Callithrix jacchus: one gene and its partner. The protein of the gene in region 1 purifies or fractionates together with the protein of each later gene. This does not show direct contact. Links are inferred from orthologs where the notes say so. Each region holds a gene or a part of one and is shown on either strand. Other genes may lie near its edges.

Evidence for each region.
Region 2: the proteins of CASP3 (region 1) and CRYAB purify together in Homo sapiens (affinity purification with western blotting; 3 studies listed by BioGRID). This does not show direct contact. The link is inferred for Callithrix jacchus from reciprocal best matches to the Homo sapiens genes CASP3 and CRYAB.

Annotation. Positions count from the first base shown.
Region 1 is NC_133504.1:6,753,822-6,769,589, forward strand, and holds the end of CASP3 (caspase-3), read left to right. Parts: intron 1-1,523; coding exon 1,524-1,648; intron 1,649-4,514; coding exon 4,515-4,643; intron 4,644-4,911; coding exon 4,912-5,087; intron 5,088-5,378; coding exon 5,379-5,499; intron 5,500-7,630; coding exon 7,631-7,860; 3' UTR 7,861-9,424; downstream 9,425-15,768. UniProt on the Homo sapiens protein: Thiol protease that acts as a major effector caspase involved in the execution phase of apoptosis. Following cleavage and activation by initiator caspases (CASP8, CASP9 and/or CASP10), mediates execution of apoptosis by catalyzing cleavage of many proteins.
Region 2 is NC_133511.1:11,611,086-11,628,386, reverse strand, and holds CRYAB (alpha-crystallin B chain), read left to right. Parts: upstream 1-8,627; 5' UTR 8,628-8,673; coding exon 8,674-8,874; intron 8,875-9,745; exon of another isoform or gene 9,746-9,879; coding exon of another isoform or gene 9,880-9,915; intron 9,916-9,989; coding exon 9,990-10,112; intron 10,113-11,439; coding exon 11,440-11,643; 3' UTR 11,644-11,780; downstream 11,781-17,301. Other genes in the region: C10H11orf52 (uncharacterized protein C11orf52 homolog), read right to left, coding at 1,340-1,371; HSPB2 (heat shock protein beta-2), read right to left, coding at 6,536-6,990, 7,497-7,590; uncharacterized protein LOC118145697, read left to right, coding at 8,476-8,533. UniProt on the Homo sapiens protein: May contribute to the transparency and refractive index of the lens. Has chaperone-like activity, preventing aggregation of various proteins under a wide range of stress conditions.

The DNA of each region.
Region 1 (15,768 bases):
TTGACTCTTTTAATTGACTACATTTAATCTTTTTCCAAGAGTATTTTTAGAATTGTGTATAATGGAGATACTCTACGGTTAAGTGCATGGGTATATGGACTGTAAGGATTAGTATTTGGCTGTTCCTAGACCTGTTTTTTCCTGACTCTTGGTCTAGATCAGGGATCAAGCTTGAGGCCTGCTTTTATCAAGTTTTATTGGAATATAGGCACACCCATTCCCTTACATATTGTCCTAGGTCAGTTTCACCAGCAGAATTGTATAGCTATGGCCAGGTACAGTGGCTCACAACTGTAATCTCAGCACTTTGGGAGGCCAAGGCAGGAGGATCACTTGAGGCCAAGAGTTCAAGACCAGCCTGGGCAATGTAGCGGGATCCTGTTTCTACAAAAATAAAATACAGAAATTAGCTGGGCATGGTGGGGACTGCCTGTCTGTAGTCCTAGCTACTTGAAACTCTGAGGAAGGGAAGAGTTCAAGGCTGCAGTGAGCTATGATGGCACCACTGCACTCCAGCGAGGGCGACAGAGCTACACCATGTCTCAGGAAAAAAAGAAAATAGAATTTAGTAGCTATAACAGAGACCAGATGGCCCACAAGCCTAAAATACTTAATATTTAACCCATTTAAAAAAAAGTTTACTGGCCGGGCACAATGGCTAACGTCTGTAATCCCAGCACTTTGGTAATCCGAGCTGGGCAGATCACAAGGTCAGGAGTTCATGACCAGACTGGCCAACATGGTGAAACTCCATCTCTACTAAAAAATACAAAAATTAGCCAGGCATGGTAGCTCATACCTGTAATCCCAGCTCCTTGGGAGGCTGAGATAGAAGATTTGCTTGAACTGGACACGTGAGGTGGAGGTTGCAGTGAGCCGAGATCACGCCACCACACTCCAGCCTGTGCTTCAGAGTGAGACTCCATCTCAAAAAAAAAGTTTACTGCCCCCCTTATCTAGATAGCAGAGGTTCTTCTTAGATAAGTGACTTACAGATATTTTCAATTATTTACAATAATGTTTTTATATATTAATAAATGACTAATTTGTTTAGCTCATGGGATTTAAGAAACTATTGTGATAAATATGGTGCTTTGAGTTATATTTACATTTTGTTGATTTCCCATCATTTCAGGGTAACTTTTAAGATTTTACTCTTACCTCCAAGAATAAAATATTTCACAAATTGATAAGTAATTTTTAAATTATAAAGGTATTTGGTGAAATTTTTAAGAATTTAGAGGAAAATGTAAAACATGGAAGCTAAAAGCCTGAACTCGGAAGTCCAGCAGATACTTCCCTTCCTTCTTGGCTGTGGCACAATCTTGGCACATTTCTTAGCCTCATGGCAGGTCATTTGCTCATGTGGAACATGTGTTGATGTGAAATTGTAATGGAGACAGTCTGGTTTATAGCACTCAACAAGTGTTCACTGTTACTGTGAGTTATAGAAATTGCACTAATGTAAACAGAAAGCATGGTCATTTCTACCTTTGTAAAGCTATTATTTGATTTTTAAACAGAAAGATCATACATGGAAGCAAATCAGTGGACTCTGGTATATCCCTGGACAGCAGTTATAAAATGGATTATCCTGAAATGGGTTTATGTCTAATAATTAATAATAAGAACTTTCATAAAAGCACTGGTATGTATCTTACATTATGTTTAATCTTTTTTAAATATTTGTGCCATTTACATTTGCTATAATATTGAAAGCAGTATTGCGGTATTATTAGTCATTAAACTATGACACAGACTAGCTGTGAAGTAGAGACCGGGCAGCACGCTCAGGCCGTGTGATGCACTGTGACACTGTGAACTGTCTCCTCTCCCGTCAGCTGGTTTCCTGTCTGTATGCTTCTTCTGTCCTGACTTCTCCACAGTCTTTGCTGCTTTTTCGCCTTTCTGCTCCCTCTTTGATTCCAACGGAAGGTTTTCAAAAAACAGTTGAGTAGTAGTATTTATTTTTTCCCCAGAAATTTCAAGACATATCACAAGCATTGCCTTCTTTAATTGTATGACAACCGGAAAGAAACAATTCCATTCTGAGAGGTTTTTAAACCTTGCACAGTCAGAGCAGGTAGCCTGGTGGCAGAGCTCAGTCTGCGTCACTCCAAAGCCCGAGCTCTGAATGCATCTCCTGTTCTGCTTCACCTCCTTGTATCTTCATGGGCTCTATTGCCTGTCTTCTCTTACCCTACGAAGCTGACAGAGATTGCCCATCTTAGAAAGATCTTTCTTTTATCCTGTTCCTTTTAATTCCTTTGATATTTATCTTCTTCCCTTCTTGCTTAAATTTTGAAAACATGTAGTTTAAGCTTGTACTCTTCACTTGTTCCAGTCCTTCTAGAGTCTTTTTCTATTTTGTCTCTACCACTGACCTGCTCTCTTTAAACATACCATGGCCTGACCACCAGATAGAGCCCCCTCTTGGTTTCTGTACTCGAATGTGGTACTACATTTGAGAATTATATATTTTTTAGAAATATAGATAATAAAATCCTTCACAATGCCAAAAAAGCTAATTAACATTTGGTGTATTGATATTTTTACTTGACAGTTTTTTTAAAGCTTGATTTTATTTATAACATGTAAGCAATGTTGTATTCTGCTTGTTTCACTTAAAGTAATAGCATTTTTTATATTGCTGCATAATTTTTATATCTGTTATAACGATTATATAATACCGCATCCCCAAAATACACCATTCACTTAATTTGCATAACTTACTATATAAATGACCCTTATGGCTGTTTCCCTTTTAAATTGATGCCGTGACAATTCTTTGAATTGGCATATTAATCATATTAGAGTTAATTTTTAGTTAGAGAAGCTATAGTAGATCTAATTTAGGACAGTACCTTTCAGAGTCGTGGTGGAAATGAAAGGAAGCCAGATTACACTGGGAAGACAGCAGGGCCTGTGTCAGGTTAGTTGTAAGGAGTGATGAGATAATGGAGCTCTAAATGGAACTTGTATTGCTTTCGGCTACAAGTTGAGATGCCGCCTTCAACCGCAAACTTAAAAAACACAACACCTTGTTTACTTTTGCTTTATACATATGTGAAAATTTAGTTCTAGATAATTCTGCCTTACGTTTATCTAGTTAGGATACCTTCTTCCTGTAGAATTTCGCATTTGGATCCATTGTTTAAAAAACCAAAAACAGGCATATCATTTCTCTACCACCACCACCTCCCCCACGTATTTAGACCAGCAATCTGGGTTTTGCCCTCAGTGAGTTCCTTTCCTAGTTTGCAATGTAAAGTCAGGTTCTCATGAGATCTCTGGCAGGCTGGGATTGGGCCAGGTACCATAGCTCATGCCTGTAATCCCAACATTTTGGGAGGCCAAGGCTGGAGGATCCTTGAGCACCAAAGTCCAAGATCAGTCTGAGCAACACAGGGAAATCCCATCTCTACAAAAAATAGAAAAATCTTAGCAGGGTGTGGTAGTGCGCAACTGTGATCCCGACTACTCGGGAGGCTGAGGTGGGAAGACAGCTTGGATCCGGGAGGTCGAGGCTGCAGTGAACTGTACTCTGGCCCACAGAGCATGACCATGTCTAAAAAACAAAAAAAGTTTTTAAAAAGGCAGCCAACACACCAGCACCAGAAGCCAGTGACCTTGTCACACAGCTGAGATAATCAACAACATTTTGGAGATGTGTATAGACTTTTTGTATCTAGTCTTCATACACCTCAAATTTACTCAATTCTGAGGTGTGTTTCCCACCAACATTTCAGCGTTTTGAAGTCTCAGTGCGTCATGCAGTCAATCTGTACATGAATGTGGAAGGTTCTTTAAAGGAGTGGTAGGAAGGCCAGGAGCCCTGGATAGAGGCCCAGCACCACTCTGTCACTCTGGGCTAGTTTGTTAACTTTACTGCATGTCCCACATCTGCACACGTGAAACCGGTAATCATACAGCTCTTACGGTGACGGGAAGGATTAAAGATTACCCACTGCAGAATATCTGATGAGCAGTAACAACGTTTGGGGGTTTTCCTTGAAGACACTGTGAATGTTATAATGCTATCTCCAAACCGTTGGGAAGCTAGAGTCAGAAACGCAGTTCTTCTGAGTGTGATAGATAAATGTATGTATTATAGGATCGTATTGTTTTCTAGTTTTATTTTTTTAAACAATGATGATTTCCCCATGGCAAAATTTTATGTTTGAAAATGACAACATAGTATATCGCATTATATAAGTGAGTATAATGTGTCTAACCAAACCCCTATTGTTAGACATGTACGTTGTTTCTGTTTTTTACTACCTAAACAGCTATGAAAGATATCTTGGCTATAACACTAATAAGGTTATGGTTTCAAGTGTCTTACTACAAAATTGAAGAGATTTTATGTCACCATGATCAAAATAGTTAGAATTCTCTTTCATTTGAAAGGAAGAATTTATTGTGGACTTTTGAATTGCTGAGTAGCTCATTTCATGTCAAAGTAGTTATTCTTTGTTTTCAGTATAATTAAAAGCGCTTCTTTCTGTTCCAAGGAATGGCATCTCGGTCTGGTACAGATGTGGATGCAGCAAACCTCAGGGAAACTTTCATGAACTTGAAATATGAAGTCAGGAATAAAAACGATCTCACACGCGAAGAGATTGTGGAACTGATGCGTAATGGTAGGAAACAAGGGTGAACTTCTAAAATATGAGAATTGTGGAATTATATGATACATAATTCTAATCTTACCTATTTTAGTAAGAAGTTTTAAAAAAGTTACTTATGCCCACTTCCTAAAATAGTTTCAGATACGTTGCTGAGCCCAGGTTCGGTTAAGATGATCTCTTAGTTTTACTCTGTCTCTTCATCATGTTCCCATACAGTATATCTGAAGTTGTTGAATGAAGTCATGGATTTTTTTCCTTTTATGTGCAAATGTCTTTTCAGTTTCTAAAGAAGATCACAGCAAAAGGAGCAGTTTCGTTTGTGTGCTTCTGAGCCATGGTGAAGAAGGAATAATTTTTGGAACCAATGGACCTGTTGACCTGAAAAAAATAACAAGCTTTTTCAGAGGGGATTGTTGTAGAAGTCTAACTGGAAAACCCAAACTTTTCATTATTCAGGTAACGTAACTGAGTGATTTGGTGATTGAAGATTAATCAGGGGCTAATTTTCTCAATTGTAAATTAGCCAAAGGATGTGTGGTTTTTTTCCTGAAGCTAAGAAACTATCGTTACTTTTCATTTACTTAAACTACCACTTAAAAGATACGGAGTAAATTTTAATTTTATACTTACATATCAAAAAGACAACATAATTAACATCCATTTTTACATAGTGTTTCAATTTCTTAGAAATAAGTTATATGTGCACACACAAATTTTTATAATAAATATTTATTTTCTAATGCCCAGGCCTGCCGTGGCACAGAACTGGACTGTGGCATTGAGACGGACAGCGGTGTTGATGATGACATGGCGTGTCATAAAATACCAGTGGAGGCCGACTTCTTGTATGCATACTCCACAGCACCTGGTGAGAACCTTGCACATAATGAATGTTACATGTGGATTTCAAATGAATTTTACTGTGACTAATCATAAAATTATACAGTGAAGAGTGTGTTTCAGAGACTGTCAAGATTTTGATATCCCTAAAGATACAAACTTGTCTATATTTTAGGGTACCTTCATCAAAGAGAAGTCTCCAAAAGTTGTCTTTAGCCAAAAGTTTGGCTAGAAAATATGCATAAATAGCTGGGTGCAGTGGCTCATGCCTGTAATTCTACTGCTTTGGGAGGCCAAGGCGGGTGGATCACTTGAGGTCAAGAGTTCAAAACCAGCCTGACCAACAATGTGAAACCCTGTCTCTACTAATAATATAAAAAATGTAGCAGAGTGTGGTGGCGCGTGCCTGTAATCCCAGCTACTCGGGAGGCTGAGGCAGGAGAAACACTTGAACCTGGGAGGTAGAGGTTGCAGTGAGCCAACATCGTGCCACTGCACTCCAGCCTGGGTGACAGAGCGAGGCTCCTTCTCAAAAAAGAAAAGAAAATATGCATACATAGAGTAGACTAGAGCAATGTCATTCATTGGACTTTTTACCAGGTAGAATATTACATGGCAACAGAGGCCAAAACAGAGCTTCCCTGCATTTTAAAGAAGAAGAGAAGTATGTTTCTCAGGAATTATTTGAAAGGTAGTAAATAAAAAAGATAAACATGACTAGTATATGAGAGGATAGATGTGGAGTGGGAGATAACAAAGAAGGTAAGAAATGACATATGAATATGCTGCTAATCTCCACTGTTTACAGTTCTGCTGTACCTGTCGTCATCTAAAGAAATATTTGTTGAGGGCCAGGCGCAGGGGCTCAAGCCTGTAATCCCAGCACTTTGGGAGGCTGAGGCGGGTGGATCAAGAGGTCAAGAGATCGAGGCCATCCTGGTCAACATGGTGAAACCCCGTCTCTACTAAAAATACAAAAAAAATGAGCTGGGCATGGTAGCGCGTGCCTGTAATCCCAGCTACTCGGGAGGCTGAGGCAGGAGAATTGCCTGAACCCAGGAGGCGGAGGTTGCAGTGAGCCGAGATCGCGCCATTGCACTCCAGCCTGGGTAACAAGAGCGAAACTCCTCAAAAAAAAAGAAATATTTGTTGATTATGCCACCATTTACTTATACAACTACTCAGGGTGCCAGAGGGCGTGACACCTGAAGGAAATGGGAAATGTTTTGTTTTGTTTTGTTTTCTGAAACGGAGTTTTGCTCTTCTTGCCCTGGCCGGAGTGCAATGCCGCTATCTCATATCACTGCAACCTCTGCCTCCTGGGTTCAAGCAATTCTCCTGCCTCAGCCTCCTTACTAACTGGGATTACAGGCATGTGCCACCACACCTGGCTAATTTTGTATTTTTAGTAGAGGTGGGGTTTTTCCATGTTGGTCAGGCTGGTCTCGAACTTCTGACCTAAGGTGATCTGCTTGCCTCGGCCTTCCAAAGTGCTGGGATTACAGGCATGAGCCACCGTGCCCAGCCAACTAAATGTATTTTTATGCAGTGTCGCATTTTAATATGTGCACAGTGTGGTTTCCTCTATCCCCTAGGCCTCTTCCTCAGCAAAGTACCTCTAAGTTAAAAGCAATGGGTCCAACAGTTAACCTGAAAAAGAAAAGTATGATAAATACACTCTTTTCCCTTTTTGGACCTTTGGAATATGTGTATTATACTTTATTCAGATGCTCTGTAGACAAATAGGACACTCAAAGCAATTTATTTCTTGGCTAAGTCAGTATTAAAATCAGGTGAAATGTGATCGGAACACTGTTACTTATAATCCTCTTTATAGAGCTCCACGTTTGCCTCTTATCTGTTGCGTGTTTGCTGTTCTTGCCTATTGAAAGGGGAGTCCAGAATGTAAAACTTGCAATAATTCAGTGTTCGTGAAGCTAGTCTGCAGTCCCTTTCTTTGCCAAAAGCAGGGGTGTGAGTGTGTGCATAGCACACGTTCTTCCTTCTTCCACATCATTGCTTCTGAAACCAAAGGTGTCTTTTTTCTTTGTATTGTTAATGAGTTTGTGCTTATTTTTGCCTTTTTTGACTACGTAATAATTTATAGAATCAACTACAATCAACTATCCATGGTATTTTGGTTGTATTTTGCCTTGTAGGTTATTATTCCTGGCGAAATTCAAGGGACGGCTCCTGGTTCATCCAGTCGCTTTGTGCCATGCTGAAGCTGTATGCCAACAAGCTTGAGTTCATGCACATCCTGACCCGGGTTAACCGAAAGGTGGCAACAGAATTTGAGTCCTCTTCCTTTGATGCTACTTTTCATGCAAAGAAACAGATTCCATGTATTGTTTCCATGCTCACGAAAGAACTGTATTTTTATCAGTAAAGAAATGGTTGGCTGGTGCTTTTTTTTAGTTTGTATGACAAGTGAGAAGACAGTATACCTGCTGCTGTCTTCCTCTCTCATTTTAACCTGCTCTCATGCTGCAGAGGGTACTTTGAGACATACTCCTTCCATCAGGTAGATCCACTATGAAGCTACCTCAAACGTACAATCAGGTAGTTGCAACTGAATTGAATTAGAAGTAAATAAAAATGGATACCGGTGCAGTCAATATGAAAGGCAATGGTTGTTGATTTGTAGCTTCCATGACTAGCAAGTTATAGTGATGCTATGCTACGCATTTTCAAGGAATTGTGAAGAAGTAATTGAAGTCATGAATTTTTAGGATATTCCTCCCACTTAAGACTGTGTAATCTGGTTTTGTCACACTGTAGAAATGATGTGGAAGAACTTAGTCATCTGTGGGCGTGCTCAAAAGCGCGAACTTTTCTTTAGAATTGATATGCAAATGTGAGTCAACTGCCTTTTTAAACCATTTACCTGGGATAATGGTTTTGTAATTTTTGTCCTAAACACCTTTGTTGTAAAAAAAAATTAATAATGCTGTTTAATATTGAGAAAGACACTAAGTATTTTATGTGAGAGAAAGTGTGAGGAAGCTAGGTTGACTCTCAAGGCTAAAACATAACATTTGTAGGGGTGGAGTTTTAACTGTGAGGTGCTACAATGCAGCTGATCCACCAGCAGAAATACCTTCTGATTTGTCCCTACGCAAATCAGTTGAGCTTCACATACCAGCAATAGATCTGAAGAGCTATTGTATAAGAACCCCAAACTGTTGATTACCAGCCTGATCATGTGAATAAATTATATAGGAACATATGAAAATACAGCTTACATAATAAAAAGTAGAATGTGAGGAAAGCAATCAATGCATGGGATGAGCTGTCTGTAACGTGAGAGCAGATGGTTTGAGCCTGAGCGGAGACACAGCACAGCCTGTTCCATGCAGGCAGAACCATAGACCATGGTTTCAGGAAGGGCCTGCAGCTCGCTTCTTAATACACTGGTGTGTCTGGAAGTTGCCGCCAGGGCCCCACTGCCAAGTAAGAAAGTGAACCAAATCAGAAACTTCTGAAATGGAAATGTAAAGGTGGTGAGTCACAATAAAACTCTTAGCACTCTTTGTAGTAAAATTCTTAAGCATGTTATATTCTGTTGATGTTTACAATCAAAGGAAAATAGTAATGTTTTATACTGTTTACTGAAAGAAAACGACAGTGGCATATAGGACTCTAGATGGCTTCCAGCCAGAGGCCAGAGCTGCGCACCCAGCCCGGGAGGCAGACTCTAGGCCTCCCCACTCAGCAGGTGCTGAGCCCTCACTACACCGAGTCTCACCTGCTTTCAGTCTGACATTTCACAGGAGATTTCTTGTTGCTCAAAAAATGAATTCGCATTTGTTAATGACAGGGTTTTTTTTTTTAACTAAATTTGTAACTTTTGTAAATACACGTAGCAGGTAATGATATCTTAAAGTGTTTTCCTGTGTGACAACTTTGTACAAATTTTCCTTTTTTTTCAAAATATAGATTCAAACTTAAAATAACCGATGTGTTTTGAGTTTTTTGTTCTGTTGTTTTTGATGTTGTGCTACTAGTTGGAAATTAAAGTGTTTTTCACCAGAAGCTTGATCTGGAAGAGTCAAAGAGGAGGCACCAGAACCCTTGCCGGGTGTTTTGAGGAGGCAGCAGTGACTGAACGGGGCAGACAGATCCCTAATGCTTCCCAGGTCCTCACAGAAGGTCCTGACCCTGAAATGACCACAGTGCCAGGAAGATACTTTGTGTCCATACATCTCAGGCCTTAAATGTGACCATATTTGTGAATTTGAAACTTCTTCAAGGAGGTATATTTTAAATGTGTCTAATGGGAAGAGCAGCCTAAGGAGATACGCAGCAAGCGGTTGATTTTTACTGATGGCCTCCTCTGGGCACCGGGAGTTTGACAGAGGAATCTGCTGTCTTTTTACTTCATATGCTTAGAAAAGGAATATAGGAAAGTGGGGTTGTGGGTAGTTGTAAATTTCTTCCAGTATTTCCATAAGGAGCATATATTACTTTTAAATCAGAAACAAAATTGTCCTAATTAGGAAAAGGGACCTCATTTCCGAGGAATCAAGAGTGGCATGAATGAGTTCTTTAAGCCCGTAAGAAAGCAGTGGTTCTATAAAGCATTGAGGAAAATCTGGCTTATTCTTGTCTCCTTGCTACGTAAAGCAGTGTCATACTACAAAGGAAAAGACCAGCAACCCAACAGGAAAATGAGCCAAGGACATGAACAGACAGTTCACAGAAAAAGAAAATCCAAGGCCAGGCGCGGTGGCTCAAGCCTGTAATCCCAGCACTTTGGGAGGCCGAGGCGAGTGGATCACGAGGTCAAGAGATCGAGACCATCCTGGTCAACATGGTGAAATCCTGTCTCTACTTAAAAATACAAAAAATTAGCTGGGCATGGTGGCGTGTGCCTGTAATCCCAGCTACTCAGGAGGCTGAGGCAGGAGAATTGCCTGAACCCAGGAGGCTGAGGTTATGGTGAGCTGAGATCACACCATCACACTCCAGCCTGGGTAACAAGAGTGAAACTCCGTCTCAAAAAAAAAAAGGAAAATCCAAATGTCCCTGAAATTCAATAAGGAGCTTGATCTGCATCATAATAGGAGAAATGCACATTAAGGTATCATCTGTCGTCTGTCAGACAGGCAGAAACCCCAGTTTGGGAACATACTCTGTTGGCAAGATGTGGGAAATGTATCCTCTCCCACTGGTGGAAGTGCAATGTGGTGAAATTCCCTATGGAGGGAATCTGACAATACCTATGAAATTATTTGTTCTTTGAAGTAGCAGTCCCATTTCTTAGAATCCAGCCTACCCATACATCTATGTGTGTACAAAATTACATACGAGCTTTTCATCACAACATTGTTTCGGTGTTAGAAAATGACAGCAACTCAACTGTGAAGGAGACAGGTTAAATACACTGCAGCTTCCACACAAGAGAAAGTTGGAGCTGGAGGGGAAGGTGAGTTAAAAGATTTGGGGTTTTTAAGTGAGAAAGATTTGAGGAGGTTTAATGCTGATGGTGGGTATCCAGTTAAGAGAAAGACTGAAGACACTAGAGGCAAAGGTAACTGACAGTGTAAGGTTCCTAAGAGCCCCAGGCAGTAAATCCGAGCATAGCCGGGGGTGGGGTGTGAAGAGGCAAAGAAACTTTTTTTTTTTTTTTTTTTTTAAATGGGAAAGTATGAGAGGGTGGGTGTGAATGAACTTAAATTTGTAGTTTTTGTGGCAGGAAGTTCCCTTACTGTAACTTCTACATTTTCTGTGAAGCAGAAGACAAGAACTCTGTTAAAAGTTAGGGAAATGATAGTGAGATCGAGGGCTAGAAGAGGCTTGAAACAATCATTGTCAGGAGTGGGAGTTGACCAGAAATTAGAAAGGTCGCTGGGCCATGTGTAGGTGCCCAGTTGAAACCAACCATTAGCAATGTGCAGTGTTCCAGGCTGCGCTGCTGTGTGAATCTACCCAGTAACACTTTGGGCTTTTGCCCACATTTATTTTAAAAAGGCAGAGGAGGCACACATTTTGGGGTACTGCAAAATAACTTTCTGAATTGGTAAACTCAGACTCTAAGCTGGGGAGACAGAAATGAAAAGGGACTAATAGGGAATAAGACGTGTGATCCATGGCCTGAGGCCCTGATGGACGTGAAGATCCGCTGTTGTGGGAGGACTGGAACACCAGCACTGAATGATGGAGGCTGTGGTCAGAAACAGGTTGTCTGAGTTGGAGGGGCCACAAATCTGGTCATGAAAATGGTGAGACTAAGAAGAATGAAGTGGCATGCAAGAGACCATTGTGGAAATGTGGAACTAAGGGCGAGGATGTTGGGTGTGTGCTCTGCTGTATGAACACTGATCTCATGCTAAAATGAGCTTCACTATGTGGGAACAGAGTAATAAGATAACTTAGTTGTGTTTACAAACTTCCCATTTTATGGATTTGAAAAAAATCCATCATTCATTTTTGCCAGGTAACGTTTTTTAGAGTTATCACCCATTATTCATAACAAGAAAGACTTTTTTTTTTTTTTTTGAGACGGAATTTCGCTCTTGTTACCCAGGCTGGAGTGCAATGGCGCGATCTCGGCTCACCGCAACCTCCGCCTCCCGGGTTCAGGCAACTCTCCTGCCTCAGCCTCCCGAGTAGCTGGGATTACAGGCACGTGCCACCATGCCCAGCTAATTTTTTGTATTTTTAGTAGAGACGGGGTTTCAGCATGTTGACCAGGATGGTCTCGATCTCTTGACCTCGTGATCCACCCGCCTCGGCCTCCCAAAGTGCTGGGATTACAGGCTTGAGCCACTACGCCCGGCCCAAGAAAGACATTTTAACTCCAACCTCATCATTTCCCTCTCAACCCCGAAGTAGGGACATAATCCCAGGTTAAAGGATAATACTTCCAAGGAAAGGCTTATCACACATGCGCACACATACACATTCCTCAGGATCTAACCTTATGCAGTTCGAAATTGCATTTGGGAAGCAATACTCTAATCCATGAAAATAACATAGTACTTACCACCTGAAATGAACTCAAAAAACCTCCCTCCTTGGTGAGACGTGGGCAGTGAGAAACAGCCATGACTAGAAATGACACTGGGCTGTCCCTTAGAAACCTTTTCACAAAACATGTTTGTTGTGCTCATTATGATGTCATCGTTATCGGCAAGATGTCAGAACTTTCCGTAGGTAAAATACTCCAATTTAAGTCACTTCTCTTCAGATTTGTCTAAATTTCAGTTGATTTTGAGCAAGAAGAAGTGAATGTTCACGTGTGAAAGTCTGTGGCTCCCTTGCATAGACAATAAGAAATAATGGGTAAAGATTCAAGTTAAATGTAGCGTGCATGTGGGTGTGTGGCCGAGGGATATTTGGATTCCGGTCTGTCAGGCCACTGATCAAGTGATCTCAGCCAAATTACAATTTCTGTCGTCCACGTTTGAAGACTCACGCCCTTGCAGCTCTAATATTGTATGTAAAAGTAAAAGGCATTTTGAGTGTGTAGAGACTGTTCATAAGTTTTTTTTTGAGACGGGATCTTGCTGTTGCCCAGGCTAGACTATAGGGGTGCAATCACAGCTCACTGTAGCCTCAACCTCCCAAACTCAGGTGACCCTCCCACCTTAGCCTCCCGAGTAGCTGGCACTATAGGTGTGTGCTACTACACCCTGCCAATTTTAATTTTTATTTTTTTAGACAGAGTTTCCCTTCTGTTGCCCAGACTGGAGTGCAGTGGCACAATCTTGGCTCACTGCAACCTCCACCTCCCAAGTTCAAGCGATTCTCCTGCCTCAGCCTCCTGAGTAGCTGGGACTACAGGCACACACCACCATGCCTGGCTAATTTTTGTATTTTTAGTAGAGGTGGGGTTTCACCACATTTGTCAGGCTGGTCTCGAACTCCTGACCTCAGGTGATCCATTTGCCTCAGCCTCCCAAAGTGCTGGGATTACAGGCATGAGCCATTGCGCCCAGCCACCAATTTTTTAAAAATTTTTTGTAGACATGGGATCTCGCTATGTTGCCCAAGCTAGTTTCAAACTCCTAGTCTCAAGGTGTCCTCCTCCTTCTCCCAAAGTGCTAGGATTACAGGTGTGAGCCACCACACGTGGCAACAACTCTTCATTTTGACAGACCGGAGTTCTCAAACTTTAGCATACGTCATAGTCATCATGTTAAAAATGACAGTGCCAAGTCTTCATGCTCTGAGATTCTGGTTCTTCATGTTAAAGAGATGCAGAGATCCAGGAATCTTCGTGTTATTAAAGAAACAAATTGCTCAGGACACGTGATAAAGGAGGCCACGCAGACATTGGTCAGGGAGACTATCGCCATAGCTGTAGGGAATGCCACATGGGGTTTTGCATTCAGTCGGGGCAAGAAATTAGGCTCTGCTGCAAATACAACAAGGAAATGTGGGAATTTACAGCTGAGGAGTTGGTGGGGGTGGCGGGAGGTTCGGGGGAAACATCAGGGCTATGGGGGGATTCCAGCTAAATCGACCAAACGGGATTCTTGCTGAAGGCAGTCTAGAGCGAGGAGATGTCACCTAGGCACTGGTGGAGAATGAGGAACGCAATCAGATATCAAGGTTGGGGCATTCTGGCTAAACTGACTTCGCAGGCTTCTGGCTAAAGCTGGACAAGGCAAAGGTGAACAAGGAAGGTCAGAGTCACAGCCTTGTTGAGAAGAGTTGAGAGGTGCCTGCTGAGACAGGCGAGGGAGAGAATGTTTGCCAGGGTCTCACAAGCACTTCAGGTGATCCCCATGCCGTTGTTCCTAGGGCACACTTGAAGAAACGCTGCTGATGTCTGTTTCACAGTTCTTTCTCTCTTACCCATGAACCAAGTGAGAAGACAGCACTGGCCAGCGGTTTTAATTCTCTTCAACTTGGGTTTGGACTTCAAACCTTCATCTGCCTCTCTCCTACTTTCAAGGTGTCTGGAATATTTTCTCAACACCAATAACCAATTCTCTGATTCTCCAGACGCCAACTGGATGTCCTACATTTAGTTCTAACACTGTCCACCTGGAGGTAGCACAGACCCCCCCAGGTTAAGGGCTCATCCCCACAAGACCCCCACAACTTCAGATACTCGTTGCAAGGCCTGGCCGCCTGCACTTCTGACCCACTGGCTGTAACTTAGGGATTCCTGCTATAACCCTAACAGGTCCACCGCCCGACGCAGGCATCAAGGCAGTACACCGAGACATCGGGTTGCGCAGAGAAAGAGGTATGATTGTGGGGCCACCAAACAAGAAGACAGGAGGAACCCTCAAATCCATCCCCCAAGGGAGTGTGGGGCGCGGGCCGAAGTGTGGCGATGCTGGATTGGCTGAGTGGCGCAGTGTGAAGCCACGGGACAGGAAGAGGAAGATGCTGTATTCTCACACTGCTTTGGTTCCTCTGTGGGGGGCTTCAAAGTGGTTGACTTTAGCTGCTTTGCTGGAATTCAGGATCTGAAAAAACATCTCAAGCAATCCTCAAAAAAGCCTTTTGATTTAATGTCAGAGATCCTTTCTATAGGGATAAGGGGAATACAAATGGTCAGTGTCAGGTGCTTTGAGAATTTAAGCAATGAGGAAGGGGCCAGAACGCAGCCTGATAGATGCTGAATTATAACCATTTCATTCTTGTCGATGCAGTGGGGATGCCTTCATCATGACTTGCCCCTCAGGTTTCATAGTGTGTTAGAATGAGTCACAGAACTGAGGAACACACTTTACTTACATTTACCAACTCACAATAAATAATACAACCAGGCTGGGCACCATGGCACACGCCTGTAATCCCAGCATTTGGGAGGCCAAGGTGGTGGATCACGAGGTCAGGAGTTGGAGACCAGCCTGGTGAACATGGTGAAACCTCGTTGTTACCAAAAATACAAAAAATTAGCTGGGTGTGGTGGCACGCACCTATAATCTCAGCTACTCAGGAGGCTGAGGCAGGGAAATCACTTGAACCCGGGAGGCAGAGGTTGCAGTGAGCTGAGACTGTGCCATTGCACTCCAGCCTGGGTAACAGACTGAGACTCTATCTTAAAAAAAAGAATAAAATAAAATAAAAAATACAAGTAGGGAATAGCCAAATGGAAGAGAGGCAGAGGACAGGTGTGGGGGAGGGGCACAGAGTGGCTCTGCTACCTCCCGGGCACCAGCCTCCCAGTGCCAATGTGTTCACCAGCCTGGGAGCTCTCTGAGTCTCTTTGGTGAAGAGTTTCTATACAGCTCTATCTCCAGCTTTCCCCTTTTCTTGCATAAGACAAAGAGGTTGGGGCAGAGTGAAAGTCCAGCTGTCGTACCAGAGCAAGCATAGAAAGTCACCCAGA
Region 2 (17,301 bases), on another chromosome or scaffold:
ACGGTGTCATTCTGTCACCCAGACTAGAATGCAGTGGTGTGATCTTGGTTCACTACAACCTTGACTCAAGGGCTTAAGCTATCCTACTGCCTCAGGCTTACAAATAACTGGGATTACAAGCACACACCACCATGCCTAGCTAATTTTTTCTTGCTCTGTCCCCCATGCTGAAGTGCAGTGGCACAATCTTGGCCCACTGCAACCTCTACCTCCCGGGTTCAAGCAATTCTCCTGCCTCAACCTCTCAAGTAGCTGGGACTACAGATCCCTCCACCACACCTGGCTAATCTTTTTTTTTTTTTTTTTTTTTTTTGTATTTTTGGTAGAGATGGGGTTTCACCATATTGGCCAGGCTGATCTTGAACTCCTGACCTTGTGATCTTCTCACTTTGGCCTCCCAAAGTGCTGGGATTACTGGCACAAGCTACCACGCCTGGCCACTTCTGCTCTTTTAAATAAACATTGCTTCAAAGTTGACTTGTTTGATCTGGGAGGCAATATTATGCAGTGGTTCAAAAGCTGGGCTCTGAAGTCAGCTGGAATCTTGGTTTTCTTGCTTACAGCCATGTGACCTTAGGTAAGTTAGTTAACTTCTCTGAACCTCAATTTCTCAGCTGACTGTAAAACAGGAGGAGGGGAAAACCACTTACCTCATAAAGTGTTGGAAAAATTAAATAAGACTGTAAAATGCCTGGCACATAGAAAGCTCTCAAATGCTATAATTATTACTCTCATCTGGGGAAGAAGGGAAAGTAGAGAAGGGAAAGGAGAAGAGAACCCAGAAAAACAGTGCCAGTTCAATATTCCTGCCCTGCTCTGGCCATTCCTCAGACAGCTAGCTTGGCTCTGTTTTCTTTTTTTTTTTTTTATTTGAGATGGAGTCTCACTCCGTCACCAGGCTGGAGTGCAGTGGCACGATCTTGGCTCACTGCAACCTCCGCCTCCAGGGTTCAAGTGATTCTCCTGCCTTAGGCTCCCGAGTAGCTGGGACTACAGGCACGAGCCACCATACCCAGCTAATGTTTGTATTTTTAGTAGAGACGGGGTTTCACCACATCAGCCAGGATGATCTCAATCTCCTGACCTCGAGATCCACCCGCCTCGGCCTCCCAAAGTGCTGGGATTACAGGTGTGAGCCACCGTGCCCGGCCTCTTGGCTCTGTTTTCTAAGATCTCCTAAAAGGAGGTGCTGCTCTGGTGTTGGAACCAGGAGGTTCCAGCCAGAGGAAGGTGGCAGTGGGAGGCTGGCAGACAACTATCTCCAGGTGCTCTGATTTTCAGGGTCTCCACATCCACCAACAGAGATAGATGTTTCCCTCTGCCCTTCCACCCTACTCACCAGCTTCCCCCGCAGCAGACCCGGTTTCCCATGGCACTCCGTCTCCAAGGGAGCCCAGCTGTTTTTATGCATCAAGAGGCTTGTGCATTTCCTGGTTCCTGGTTGAGCTTTCCGCCAGCAGCTCCTGGAGTGTGTGTCAGTGTCAGATTTCAACCTAGCAGGTTGGACTTCAGAAGCCACCTGCTGGAATGATTCCCAGGTGACTGTGTTCCCAGCCAAAGGGTAGAACAACACACGGGCTCCTGGTGAGAGCTAACTTCAGGATTCGAAGCATCTTTTGATGAAGCCATGAACTTGAGCTTCAAGATTCAATAAAAAGAAACCTAAGATAGAAAAGGGCTCTTGGTTTTCCTCAGGAAATGCTTCTCTGCTACATCATTCTGTCTTTGAAATATATCCTCTATAACAGATGAGTGTCTTATATAGGAGCTTGCACAGTACCACCCAGGTTTAACTGAGTTTCAACTTTAGAGGTAATTGGTACCAGTTTTTTATCATCTTTGTCCAGAATCTGGGTTGGTATACTGGAGTCTCTTGGAAACTGAAGTTTAGGGAAATGGGTTCCTCATATATTCTCCCTTGCTATTTGAAATTGATGTGGGCAAATCACTTAACCTTTATTGGGCCTAAGTTCCTAGGGCTGTAAAATGAAAGAACTGAATCTAATCCCCTTTCTGGTATAAAATCAGATGATTCTGTGATCCGAATGGCCTCAGCACTTCTTAACCACTCACTCCCCTATCCACAGTTCGGAACTACTGATTCTCCACTTACCCTTCAACTCTGTTTCTCCTTCCAGTTACCCAAAGTTAGACTCACCCCACACTCACCAGTAGAAAATATGGGCTCTAGGAGAATCTGTGAAACCTATCATTCTTGTTTTCAGTTGTCTCACCCCATTTTTAGTGTTTTCCTCGGATACCTGGTTATTTGTGTGTTCTTTAAGTGGATGTTTAGGTCCCACCACTCAGCTCTGCACTCCACAGAGAGTACCCTGGACTTTGAACTCCTCTTATGAAACATGGGGATGAGAGTGACAATCTTACAGGATTGTGTTGTAAAATAAAGCTCTACTGCAGGGCCTGGCATATGGAACATGCTCAGTAAGAGTTAAGTATTGTTATTATTACAAAGCATCTTATTTTCTTTCTTTCCTTTTTTTTTTTAAATTGAGACAGGATTTCACCATGTTGGTCAGACTGGTCTCGAACTCCTGACCTCAGGTAATCCACCCGCCTCAGCCTCCCAAAGTACTGGGATTACAGGCGTGAGCCACCATGCCTGGCCTTTTTTTTTTTTTTTCTAAGACAGGGTCTCAATCTGTCACCCAGGCTGGAGTTCAGTGGCTAGCTCACTGCACCCTCAAACTCCTAGGCTCAAGAGATTCTCCCGCTTCAGCCTCCCAAGTAGCTGGGACTACAGGTTCACACCACTGTGCCTAGCTAATTAAAAAAAACTTTTTAGAGATAGGGTGTTTTTATTTCTTTTTCACTAATGTGAGATGGGGTCTCGCTATGTGGACCAGGCTGGTCTCGAACTCCTGGCCTCAAGCAATCCTCCCATCTCAGTCTCCTGAAGTGCTGAGATTACAACAGGTGTGAGCCACCACGACTGGCCAAGATAGGGTCTTTCTGTGTTGCCCTTGTTGGTCTTGAACTTCTGGCCTCAAGTGACCCTTCCACTGTGCCTCGTTCCTATATTTTACTTTTTTTTTCTTGTGCCCTAATCATTGCACTATCTTGTAGCCATACTTCTTCTATGCAATCCATTCTGTACTCTTAACTGTATCATTTTCATCCACTCCTTCTCCTCCCAGTTTAAAAGCCATTAATGATTTCCTATCACCTATAGGATAGAGTTCAAGCTGCTTAGCCTGGCACTCAAAAAGCCCTCCACAATCTCGTTCTTTTTTAGCCACCACTTCTGTAATGTTTTTAAAAGCACATAAGCATCTGGGTTTACACAGTGGCTTGGCTCATGCCTGTAATTCCAGTGCTTTGGGAGACTGAGGCAGGAGGATCACTTGAGCCCAGGAGTTCAAGATCAGCCTGGGCAATATAACAACAATCCATCATCTCTACAAAATATAAAAACTAAAAAATTAGCCAAGTATGGTGATGCATGCCTGTAGTCCCAGCTACTCAGAAGGCTGAGGTGGGAGGATTATTGAGCAAGAGAGGTTGAGGCTGCAGTGAGCTGTGACCACGCCATTGCACCCCAACCTGGTCAACAGAGTGAGACTCTGCCTCTAAAAAAAGGAAATCACCTAAGAGATTTTTAGATGACCAGAAACTCCAAAGGAATCAATAGAGCAATAGACCATTGTGGTAGCCAGAAAACCTGATATGCCTAAAGCAGCATTAATAGAAAACCAAAGTGATGAGAATATTGATTATTCCGCTGAAGTCTATTCTAGTCAGTTCATGACTGAAATAATAATTTTAGGTCTAGATGTTAAATTTAAAGTTATGTTGTCAAAAGACACTATGTTAAAAATAAAGTTATCTGGGTAATATGTAATGTGGAAAGTGCTATATGATATGGTTGAAAGAACAAGACATGGCCGAGTGTGGTGGCTTACCTGTAACCCCAATATGTTGGGAGGCTGAGGGGGGCAGATTGCTTGAGGCCAGAAGTTCAAGACTAGCCTGGGCAACATGGTGAAATCCAGTCTCTACAAAAAATTATCCAGGTGTGGTGGCATGTGCCTGTAGTGTCAGCTACTCAGGAGGTGGGGGTAAGGGGACTGCTTGAGCCTGGGAGGAGGAGGTGGCAGTGAGGGGAGATGACACCACTGCATACTCAGCCTGGGTGCATGTGCAAACAAAAAACAAAACAACAAAATAAAAGCGAAAGACAAAACTAGACACAGCTGGGAAAGGGAAGCCTCAGGAAGACACCATGGTTTATCTTTAAATATCAGAAGGACTTTCAAGTGAGAAAAACAATTGCATCTGTTTTCCAGAGAAGTTAGAGAAATGTAGATTTTGATTCAACAAAAGGAAGAATTTATAATAGTTAAGTCAGTTAAGTCCCCCCCCCCCAAAAAAAAATGAAGGGCCAGTTGCAATGGCTCACATCTGTAATCCCAGCACTGTGGCAGGCCAAGGCTTGAGGATTGATTGAGTCCAGGAGTTCAAGAAAACCTGGACAACAAAGTGAGACCTTGTCTCTACAAAAAGCAAATATTAGCTGGGTATAGTGGCACACACCTGTAGTCCCAGCTACTCAGGAGGCCGAGGTGGGAGGATTGCTTGAGCAAGGGAGGTTGAGGCTGTAGTGAGCCATGATCATGCCACTGCACTTCGGCCTGAGCAACAGAATGAGACCCTGTCTAAAAAAGAAAAGAAAGAATGTGAAACAGGCTACTATAGGAAGTTCTAAGTAGTCTGTCATTCAGAATGTCCCAGAAGAAGTTGATTAATAACTTTAAAAGAATTTGAATGGAGTGGGGATTTGGACTAAATCAGAAGTTTTCCATTTTTTTCTAGCTAAGAAACCCTTTCCCTTAAATAAAGCTCAATTGCAAAACGTATCAGTGTGAAGCTATTCAGGTTGAAGTTTAAGTAGAATCTTTTCTGATTCTTTTTCTTCTCAACTGGATTCCAGAAAGTTGACAATAAAAGCTAATAGTTTTTATAATTTATATTCACAGTGTATATCCCCCATGGTGTATTATGTGAGGTTTGATAAATATTTATTGAATGAATGAACAATTAAATATGTCAAAAGTTATTTCTCTGGGGCATGCTTTCATTTTTAATAGACAGCAATCTTTTAACCAAAAATCAAATTCCTCAAATGAGGTCCGTTATCCTGGAGTTCCACAGATTCCTAAGAGGGGTATATGAATGGGTCTCAAGAGTTGTGGGAACCTATTCAAATTGTATTGCCAAATTTCGGAGCATGTGTATTTTCCTCGTAAGAGCAGCTATAGCTTTCTTCAGATTTTCAGATGTGTCTATAACCCCAAAAATTTAAGAAACAACTACTTTATTTTAATTGAATTGAACTGAATTTTTTTGAGGCAGGATCTCACTCTGTCACCCAGGCTGGAGTGCAGTAACATGATCTCAGCTCACTGCAGCTTCTAGCTCCCTGGCTCATCCTCCCACCTCAGCCTCCAGAGTAGCTGGGACTACAGGCATGCACCACCAGACCTGGATAATTTTCATTTTCTGTAGAGACAAGGTTTCACTCTGTTACCCAGGCTGATCTCCAACTCTTGGGCTCAAGTGATCCTCCCGCCTTGACCACCCAAAGTACTGGGATTACGGGAGTGAGCCACTGCACGCAGCCAAAGAACAACTACTTTAATGGAAGAATTATAGGTATCTATTACAGCCTGATAAAATACGTATTTGGAGGCAGGAAGTTCTTTTGAATACCCCCAAATTGTGTACCTGCATGTTCTCTTTATTGCAGAGAATAACTGAGGGGACAGACCCTCAGGCTTTCCTAAATACATTATACCCCCCAGAGGATGCGAAGGTAATGGAGTTCCATGATAATGGAAGAGGCTTCTGTGTCTGTGCCCCAGTGTATGCGTACTCAGGCTCTTGAAATCAGTGACCATTTCAGTGGACAGACCTGAGTAAATGAAAACAAAGTATTTACTCCAGGGCTTCAGGCAACTCTCACCAGCCAAAAACCATTTTCCCAGCCCCTACCCAAAAAGGCCCAGACAGTCTGGAGACCCTTGTTTTTGTGTCTCTAATCACCAGCTCAGACAGTGCCCTCTGGACTGTTTGGATGGCATATCCCTTTTCCCTCCCAGGATCACTCTCTCTTTTGTTGCATTGTGAGAAAATTATGGCTGGGAATTTGATCTGGAGCCAGAGTCAGCTTCCGGGTGTGATCTCAGCATCCAAGTGCGAGCTCAGGGTGCTATGACGTTTGGTACATCAAACTGAGGAGCTTTTTGTCTCGTTGGCTGTGACCTCCTCCCTCCCTCCCCTTCCCATCTTCCCAGCCACAGAGTAGGGAGCAGCACAAACAAGGCCCTGAGATTTGGGTTTATTCACCTCCACCCAAAACTAAACCAAGGCTAGGACATGTCCCATGGGACCAAACCATACATTGTGGACCATGCACCTTTCCCTTCCCCCAAGGATGCTGCTACCTCTGGAGTGGTGGGCAGCTGCCCATATCACCGTGGGAGGTAAAGAGGGATTTGCTGGTGCTGGTCTGTGGCAATCAGGGCTCAACTATGGCTGCCTCCTCCTCTTCCTCTGGATCAGGAGGCGCAGGGAGCAGGGAGATGTAGACCTCGTTGACCTCTGTGTCCAAATGTCGGCCACCCCGAGGCGCTTCCAGGTTTAAGATGCCATCATGGGAGAGAGCAGCTCGGACCCGCCAGGGGTCTACGTCAGCAGGCAGGACATAGGTGCGGCAGAACTCTCGGGACACGAAGCCGTGGCGGTCCAAGCGCTGGGGGTGCCGGGCAGACACCTCCAGCAGGTTATCTACAGTCCTCACAGTTACCTCGTCTGGGGTAAAGTGGCTCACATCCAGAAATGCCTGGAACTTGCCCTCACTGAGCCTAAGCTCGGAGGCCCCTGCCCTGCTACCCTCCCCAGCTGGGGCAGCGCGAGGCCGGACATAGTAGCCATGGTAGAGTGTGGGGGTCAGGATCTCTTCCGGCAGGAGGCCTAGGGGGCAGAGAGAAGGCAAGAGGCAGGATGAGGGAGGATGAGGTGGGCACAGGGGCGAAATGGGAAATCTGGAGAGGGGGGATTGGGAAGAGCAGGAGGGGAGTCAGGAGGAGCAGGGAAGGGAACCGGAGGGAGGCCACACAGTAGCTAGGAGGAGAAGGTAGCTGGGAAGAGGGGAAAGAGGAAAGGAAAAGGAGGAAAAGGAAGGGGAGGAGGGAGAGGAGGAGGAGGCACCAAACTGGGCCTGGGTGGATAGAAGGGGGACAAGGAGGCACACTAAGGCAGCAAAGGGCAGGTATCAGCACTGCAGGCACCAAGTCTGTCTTGAGGTCAGCAGGAATGGGAAAGAGCCCTGCTTGGAGGGGATGAGGGGAAGTCTGGGGTGGGGGATGACTGGCTTCAGGAGATCAGTTAAGCCGAGTGGGGTGGAAGCCAGTAACGCTGGGAGGTCAGCCCAGAATTTCGGGAGGGTGGGAGGCAAGGGGGTGGCGTCTGTGCCATACCTTCTCCAAAGCGCTGCTCACCCAGGCGACTCGGGTTGGCAAATTCGTACTCGGCGGTGGCTGGGTGGGCATGTGGCACTGAGCGGCCCGACATGGCTGCAGAAGCAGCGGAAGCCCTGGTCCGAGGTGCAGCCCCAACAGACGCAGCGCGACCCCTCCAGCTGCCGGGAGAGCTAGGGCTCAATAGGAGGTGGGGGCGGGGTCGACACCACCCAAAATAGTGCCGTGCCTCTGCGGGGGAGGGGTGGGGAGTGGGGGCCCTCAGTGAGAGCAACAGGGTGTAACCAGTGCCGCCCGGACCCCTAGTCCCCTCCCCCGAACACTTCAGCTGTTGCAGGGGGTCTGAGAGGACAGCTGAAGGTCCTGGCTGGGAACAAGCTGGGGAGGGGGAGCTAGTGGTGTCTAGGACATGAAGAGGCCTTGCTGAGACCCTCACGAACGGTTTCCACGTTTCCACAGCACATTTCCTCCTCCTCAGTGGCAGGCACTGTGCACCCAATAAATTCCTAAAGCTCTCCTGGATTTAATTAATGTTCTGAGAGCCACATAGGATGAAAGATGCAAGAAGTCTTTTGCTCTTTCTTCAGGGGTGAGGTCTTTCTGCCCAGATGTCAGGGTCCTCCCCTGAACCCAGGTCAACCCAGGGCACGAGGCAGATGGCTGGTACTGACATGTTGACCATCACTGCTCTCTTCTAAGGACTCACAAAGAGTTAATGTCCCTGGGGCCCAGCCTAGGAAGATTCCAGTCCCTGCCCAGGCCCAAGATAGTTGCTGGCCTGATTCCCTTGGCATGCAGGACTGGAGAGGAGGAGGAGGGGCACACCCCCCTATGCCTGCTTGGGATTCCTGACTCTGTCCCAGCTTCAGAGAACAGGGGTGGGGGTGGGTGCCCATTGGGTGTGGACAGAAAGCTAGTGAAACAAGACCATGACAAGTCACTGGCCAGCTCAGACGTGTTTGTGTTTCTCTTTTCTTAGCTCAGTGAGTACTGGGTATGTGTCACACTGCCAAATCCCCGATCACAAGTCTCCATGAACCGGCAGTGAGCTAGGATAATAAAACCCCTGACATCACCATTCCAGAAGCTTCACAAGACCGCATATATAAGGGGCTGGCTGTAGCTGCAGCTGAAGGAGCTGACCAGCCAGCTGACCCCCAACACTCACCTAGCCACCATGGACATCGCCATCCACCACCCCTGGATCCGCCGCCCCTTCTTTCCTTTCCACTCCCCCAGCCGCCTCTTTGACCAGTTCTTCGGAGAGCACCTGTTGGAGTCTGATCTTTTCCCAACATCTACTTCCCTGAGCCCCTTCTACCTTCGGCCACCCTCTTTCCTGCGGGCACCAAGCTGGTTTGACACTGGACTCTCAGAGGTGAGTCTTCCCCTCCCAGGATGGGAGAGTCCTTACTGGAACATCCTGGAAACTTCTCCATCCATTTTTCTTTCCTTCCCTGCCTAAACAATTTTAGGCACATGTGTGTCCAAAAGTGAAGAAAAATGAGGTTGCTAGTGCCTTCCTCCCCTGTCAGCTATTTCTATTTGATGGTCCTCTGTATCCCATTTATTACATTTTTCTATGCACCGTCGAGTTCATCCTCTGTCCCCTAACTTCTCTCTGCAGGATACCCCTTTCTAGTTTGGTTCATAACGATCTGCAGGGAAAGAGCTGCCTTCGAACTCCTTTACTCATCTCTTCTAACACCTCAGACTCTTGACCAATTTTACCATCTCAGGTTTCAGAGCCAGGAGAGAGCCCTGCCTCATCCTGAGCTGTTCATCCCCACTGGGTGGAGCTGGGGCCAACCACCACTATTTTCTGCCTTTCTATTCCTTCTTCTAGGATTTTCTGGGTCCCTTAAGGCTGTGACAGAGCACTGGCCTGGGTCCAACCAAGCCTTATGAGGAAACAATATAGGTCTAGTCTTGGGATCCCCCACTTGTCCTGAGAGGGTGGGAGAAAAGGGTGAACAAATAAGGTTGACCGAAGCTGTTACAGATAACACTCTGGTTTAAAAATATTTGAGTGTGAGTAAACAGGACCTGAGTGGGCAAGGGCTTTGGAAGGACAAGCAGGACCAGCAGAACATTCCAGATTGGGTGGGTGGAAAACTGGCAAAGAGACCTGAGCAAGAAGAAGAAAGGCCTTTGTCTCACAGACAAACCACAAAGCCAGGCATTGGAGTCAGAGAGGCAGCAGATGCCAGGCCTGCACCCATCTTTGTGACTGGTCCCCTGGGTGATCTGTCTTCTTCTCTGTCCCTGGAAATAAAGTTTAGGTCTGATCACCACGAGCCTTAGGTATCACTATGGTGGCTCCCTGAAGCAGAGAGCCGTGTTTATTTAAAAAGGCGATTTTCTTTAAGCAGAAAAAAGAAGGATGAATTACCTGGACAGAAAGCAACTCTGCAGAATGGTAAGACAGCACCAGTATAATTAGTATTTTTGCCATCTTTTTCCAACCCCATTCTCTTACCTTGCTATTTTTAGATGCGCCTGGAGAAGGACAGGTTCTCTGTCAACCTGGATGTGAAGCACTTCTCCCCAGAGGAACTCAAAGTTAAGGTGCTGGGAGATGTGATTGAGGTGCATGGCAAACATGAAGAGCGCCAGGTATGTAGCTTGTTTTTGGTTTTTGTTTTCTGCTCATTCATTCAGTGCATACTGTAATAGTCTCAGTAGAGCTCTCAGCTTCGGAGGCTGGCTACATTCCAGTCCCAAGCCATAACGGTCTGGATCAGGGCTTACAAATCAATGTCTGGAAGACTAAGTTAGGGAGAGACCTACTGCTGTCATGACTGTTGTTATGGCCAGAGATGCGGCTTTTGTTTTATTTGATCACCTTAGATGGGATGCTGATGCCCCATCAAGGCCAGTGGTTCTGAATCTCGGCCACATTAGAATCACCAGGGGAACTTTCAAAAATCCTAATGCTCAGGCATACCCCAGACCAATTCAGTCAGAATTTTTAGGGATGGGACCCAGACATCAGCATTTTTTAAGGTGATTCTAATCTACAGTCAAGGTTGAGAACCACCGATTTAGGGTTAGGGTTGTAAGACACCTAGTTGCTTTGCATAATTACATTAACTACATGTACCCTGAAGGCTCTTGAGTTGTGACTTCTCTTTACTTGTGCAAGAATCCACGTTTCATCTTTAGTCCATCTTAATGCTGAACCACTTGGTTTGTCTAAATTTCAGTCTTCAGTCCCCCTGTAGCCTATGTGGAAATCAGTTAATGAGAGCCTGTTTGGTTACATGCTTGAGAGTCGGCAGGCATACGGGTAAAGGTCACCTACCCTTTGTGGGAATTCTGACGAATGGAACAGCTTCTCATGACTTTGTGAGAGGGCTTTAAAATTGTTTCTTACCAATTAATGATAGCTCAGAACCTGTGCATCAACTAGTACAGTTTGTCCTTAGTAACGTCCTCGAGCTGTTTCCATTTTGCTCATATGATTTAGGTTTGGGTTATAGTCTCCTTGGATGGAGTCATTTTTCTTCTTCTTCTTCTTTTTTTTTTTTTGCAGCAGTCCTATTGTTCTGGAACATTCTGGGACATTCCTGAAGAGTCAGGACAATTTCCGGGTTTCCTCAGGGACTCAGATTCTAAATGAGATTCCAAATTCTGTAGGCCCAGCCAACAGAATTTGATCTAAACCTTTGGGAAATACCCCTAAACATGTCTATGCCTCTGGGTTTGAAAAACAATGATGTATTGGGCTGTTTCAGACTTCTCAGATTCTCACTGGTAGGAATGACTCTACCTAGGCAACTTCATCTTAACTCCAAACCTGAAACAAAGAATTATTTATTCTTCCTATGTTGTCATGGCATCTGGTCTCACCTAAGGGGAAATCGGGATGCTTGAGTTCTGGGCAGGTGATAATATTTCCTGTTTTTATTTCTCTGCCTCTTTCCTCATTCTCTTGGGTTAGGATGAACATGGTTTCATCTCCAGGGAGTTCCACAGGAAATATCGGGTCCCAGCTGATGTGGACCCTCTTGCCATTACTTCATCCCTGTCATCTGATGGGGTCCTCACTGTGAATGGACCAAGGAAACAGGTCTCTGGCCCAGAGCGCACCATTCCCATCACCCGTGAAGAGAAGCCTGCTGTCACTGCAGCTCCCAAGAAATAGATGCCCTTTCTCGAATTGCATTTTTTAAAACAAGAAAGTTTCCCCACCAGTGAATGAAAGTTTTGACTAGTGCTGAAGCTTATTAATGCTAAGGGCAGGCCCAAATTATCAAGCTAATAAAATATCATTCAGCAAGAGATAACTGTCTTGTGTTTGAATATTCCATACACTTTTAAATAAATGTACAAATGCCACAGATCCATTTATGATTGCATTATGATTTAGAGGACGCCAGGGATTTTAGAGTCAGAATGACTGGCTCCACCATTTACTAATGGTATAAATTTAGGCAAGTTGCTTAACCTTTCCGGTCTTCAGGTTTTCCATTTATAACATGGGTTACTGAGTTGTGCAGAGCTATTATAGGAAGTAAATTAAGGAGAAGCAGCAGAAAAAGCCCCTGGCAGAGTTCAAGGAATATTAGTTACTTTCTCTCTGTCCTCTTTGATTTTAGCCCTTAGTTTAAAGGACTGGAGCAAATCTGAATGAACTCTGGATAACGCTATTTAAAAGCCCTTACTGCATCTCTGAAATTAATTACATCGCCAGAGAGGACATGGTGACCCTAATATTGTTTGACATTTTCCTATTGCTAAACATTGCCTTCAGCTGATTTACAGGGGCAATAAATAGGACTTGGGTGATTATAACCTAACAAGCTCTGAGCTATAGTCTAAATCAGTGGCCCCCAACCTTTTTGGCACCAGGGACTGGTTTTGGGGAAGACAATTTTTCTGTGGCCCCAGGGGAGCAGAGGATAGTTTCAGGATGATTCAAACATTAGATTCTCATAAGGAATGCACAACCTAGATCTCTCACATGTGCAGTTCGCAGTAGGATTCTGCTCATATGAGAATTTAACGCCACCATTGATCTGAGAGGAGGCAGAGCTCAGGTTCACTCACCACCTACTGTGCAGCCTGGTTCCTAATAGGCCACAGCCATGGTTCCCGATGGTCTCTATGGCCTGGGGGTTGGGGATCCCTAGTCTAAATTATCTAGCCAACACCTACTAACCTAAGGCCAGGAAATATCCAATTCACATAATACTTAAGTTTTAGAATTACAATTAATAACTGATCAATAAGTGGTTCTATTATTTAGCTTAAAGACATACCACTGTACAAAAAAAAATCCCCCCCCCCCCCCAACAAAAAGCAACCCTCCATTTCACTTCTGTGGGTCTGGACCAACTTCTGATTCACTTGATAAACAGCACTGCTGCAGGTGATCTGGTGTAAATGTTTACTGACAACTCTTATTTTTTCTTTAGCAGCTTCCAGCTAATTTTTCACTTCTTGCAAAATCAGAAATGAGTCAGTTTGGGGGACTGACCAGGGTTTTGAAACATTCTGTATGAAACAATTGCTCCAAATGTTTTTATGGCATAGAGGGAAACAACACATACGGGGGCCTATCAGAGGGTGAGAGAAGGGCAAGAATTGGGAAAAATACCTAATGGATACTAGGCTTAATACCTGGGTTATGAAACAATCTGTATAACAGACCCCATGACACATGCTTACCTATGTGACAAAATGAAGGACAAAAAAGGTCACAGTGAGATACCACTGAGCCCCTATTAGAATGACTAAAATGAAAAATTGACTATACTAAGTAAAACAAAAAATAAATACACAAACTTAAAACTTAACAATAAAAAAATTCATGGTACAGGGTGTGGAGGTAGGATGATACAAATCGCAAATCTATACAGGTTCAAAATGCTTTCTCTTAAAAAACAATTCCCTAATAGTCTGAAATGCTGTGATCTAGCCAGAAGTTTACAGTCAATGTTCGTGGCTCTGTAGCAGACTCTGTTGGTGCCTAACCAACAGCTATTTAACACCTTCAGCCTTGCCAACAGTACCCCAAATCGGTTTATGTATACACCATATTCTTCCTAGCCATGTCCTTCAGAGACGTGAACTCAAGCTCCAGCCACAGGACGTCTATCTTGATTAGTCCAAAGAAGCAGGAAAATTCTCTTCTTGATTTTCAAGATTAATCTTGAAAGTGCTATGACTCAATTATGGCAAATGAGACAGGAGGGAAGTCTGTTGGAGATGCTTCTAGAAAAAGTTTCTAAACTAAGAGCAAGTTTCTAAAGGATTCAGAGAGAGAGAGAGATCTCTTTTTTTTCTTGCTCTGGATGTTGGAGCATGAGAATGTGATGCCTGGATTACTGTAGCCATTTTGAAAACATGAGCGGGGCATTCACAATAGGCTGAGCACAAAGACAATAATCTCAGGTCCTTAATGGGTCAATGAATTGCTGAATTAGCCAACTCTAGAGTTTCCCTACTTCAGGCTGACTGATTATGTCTTGTTTTTGTTTAATAATCTATTTTGATGTGGGTTTTCTGTTACTAGCAAGCAAAAACATCTGATATTATAAAGGCTGAATTAGATAGTACAAAATAACCGAATGCCTGGAAGCCATGTGTCAATTTTAATCATTTTAGTGAATTACCAATTCCAAAGCAATGATTGCCTTGGTTTTAAATAAATCACAACTTTGACTATTAGAGAATGAAATGTGTTTCAAACATGTGCAGGATTACATGTTTTTGTTTATTACCATAAGTGTCTAAGTTAGACTGGTTTTCATTGTTATTCTTTCTACACCACACCCTTTGCTGTGGCTATGCACAGCTAATATTTTATATATTATTTTATACTAATATTTTAGCATAGGACTATTCTAGTACAGTACATTTGAAGGGTTTTTTTAGCTATATAGCTAGCTCATCCAGGATTCTACTTCATTCCCTATATCTGAATTATGCCAGAAGTTTATGGAGGCAATTCTAAATAGCATTTGTTTTATTTTTTAATATTAGCTAACATTTACTGAACACTATATTAGTCCATTCTCACATTGCTGTAAAGAACTACCTGAGACTGTGGAATTTATGAAGAAAAGAGGTCTTCGGGAATTCAAATGGAGATATTCAATAGATAGTTGGATATTTATATCCAGTGTTCTGGAGATGTATTTGGGATAGAAGTGTAGGTTTAAAATTTGGAATCATATAGATAGGAGTTAAAGGCATAGGATAGTATCACCGGGGGGTAGAAAAAGAGGAGCAAAAGGGCGAGCCACAGAATCACTGGAAATGCAAACTTAAGGGATTGGCAGAGAAAAGTAAGCTCATAAAAGAGACCTAGTAATAATCAGAGAAATGAGAGAAAAACACGTTTAGCACAATGTCACAGAAACCAAGGGAATAAGATTTCAAGAAGTAAAAGGTGGGTGGTCAAGTGGACTATCAAATGCAAAATCTAAAAGTAACATATGAGCTGAAGTATCCACTAGATTTGGTAAAACTTTCACCGTCATAGAAACACTTTTAGGAAACTGGTGGGTCAAAGAGGAAATGGGAGGTGGATTTCTTGACAAGATAGAGCAGTAAGCTCATATCTGATGCAATCCCGCGGCTGTAAACACACAGCAATGGTAGAATTTTTAAAGTAGAAAAGATAAATGATAATACCGACAAATTAAATTATAAAATATTTAAATAAATAAAATTTAGGAGGATGGGTCTATTAGACTCTAGATAAAAGACAGTGGCAGCTGATGAGTTCAACTCCTACAGGTAAAGGGACTAAAAGTGCTCAACCTAAGACAGAAGAAACAATTGGATCATGACAGCCAGTGGCTGTGGTGGGATTTTCCCACTTGTAAAAGAAAGACAGAAAAATCCTGTCCATCTGCCTTCTGGGGTTATAGTTGAATAGAAACTGGGCTTAGTGAGGTGGAAAGACCAAGATATAGCCTCCTGATTCAGAATTTACACATGATATCTTTTTTTTTTTCTGAGACAGAATCTTGTTCAGTTTCCCAGTCTGGAGGACAATGGCACAATCTCAGCTCACTGCAACCTCTGCCTCCCGGGTTCAAGCGATTCTCCTGCCTCAGCCTCCCAGTAACTGGGATTATAGGCACCCGCCACCAGGCTTGGCTAATTTTTCTGAATTTTTAGTAGATATGGGGTTTCACCACATTGGCCAGGCTCGTCTAGAACCCCTGATCTCAAATGATCTGCCTGCCTCAGCCTCCCAAGGCGCTGAGATTACAGGCATGAGCCATTGCACCCAGCCTACATGTGATATCTTATAGCTCAGTGATAGCATCCAATATGACAGCAGGACAGTAGCCCCATTCATCATTACAAAATCCCATTTAGAACTGGGAAGGAGAGAGATGTAAGAAGCGTGATGAAGGCAACTGCAAAACTACTAGAGAATAAGGAATGGTGGACATAGAATCAGAGAAATAAAGAAGGAAAAGCAAACTGAGAATCTATTAAAAACCAACATTCCAAACACATGAAGAAATCTCATAGTAAGAAAGATAGGCAACAATAAAATCAACAATAAGAAAAATGAAGGACCTTGGAACCCACCCATTCTTTTACTTTAAGAAAAAAACAAGTAATTGTTGCAGAGGTATTTTATATTTCTGTATTTTGCAGCTGCCTTTTGGTAAGAAGCACCTTTTCCAAATTAAAAAAATTTTAATAAAAATTAAAATGAGGTGCTTGAAGCAGTGGCCCACACCTCTAATCCTAGCACTTTGGGAGGCTGACACAGGTGGATCACCTGAGGTCAGGAGTTCAAGACCAGCCTGGCTGACATGGTGAAACACCATCTCTACTAAAAATACAAAAGTTAGCCCGGCATGGTGGTGCCTGCCTGTAGTCTCATCTACTCAGGAGGCTGAAGCAGATGAATTGCTTGAACCTGGGAGGCAGACATTGCAGTGAGTTGAGATCTCACCAGGCACTCTAGCCTGGGCAACAGAGTGAGACTCCTTCTCAAAAAAAAGGGGGAGGAATAATTTTATTTAGAAAGGGCAAGAAATACTAAATTAAAACAAGCAGAATTTAAAAATAGGATGGACATGAAAAAACCATTTAGACGTATTAGAAACTGATGTTATGAATGCTATCAGGAACAAAGTTACACGTTTACAAATTGAAAGAAAGCTGAGGAATTCACTCAGAATACAGCAAATTAGAGGAAAAGATTTTTTAAAATAAGAACAGTTAGGATATATGGAGGAGAAAATGAGAAACCAACATGTATCCAAATAGGTGCTTCTAAGAATTAATAGAGACAACGATAAAGCTTTATTTGAAGAGATTTTTCAGAATTGAAGATGTGAGTCTTCAGATATTGGGCAGGATACATAATACTAAATTGCACTTAAATATATGATTGTGAAAATCCAGAACAATAAGGATCAGAAAAATCTTAAAAGGTCTGAGGACAAAAAGGTGTATTAATTACAAATAAGTTACGATTAGATTGACAGCAGACCTCTCAGCATCAGTAAAAATCAAGACAATAGAGTCATGGCTTCAAAGTACTGGTAGAGTAGAAATAGTTGTTAACTCAGAGTTTTAGGTAAGTTATCACTCAAAGTACAATATGCCACGAATGCAAAGATGGCTCAATATTGGAAAATCTCTATAAATTTACTATATTAATAGACTAAAAGAAAATAAATCTTATGATTATCCCAACTAATGTGTGGTTCAGCTTCTCTATTTACATGGAGGGAAACTTCTGTTAGAAAATCAGAAATAAAAGAAATTTCCTCAAGTTGGTAAATACTATATAATAAAAACTTAGTGCAAACATTATAGT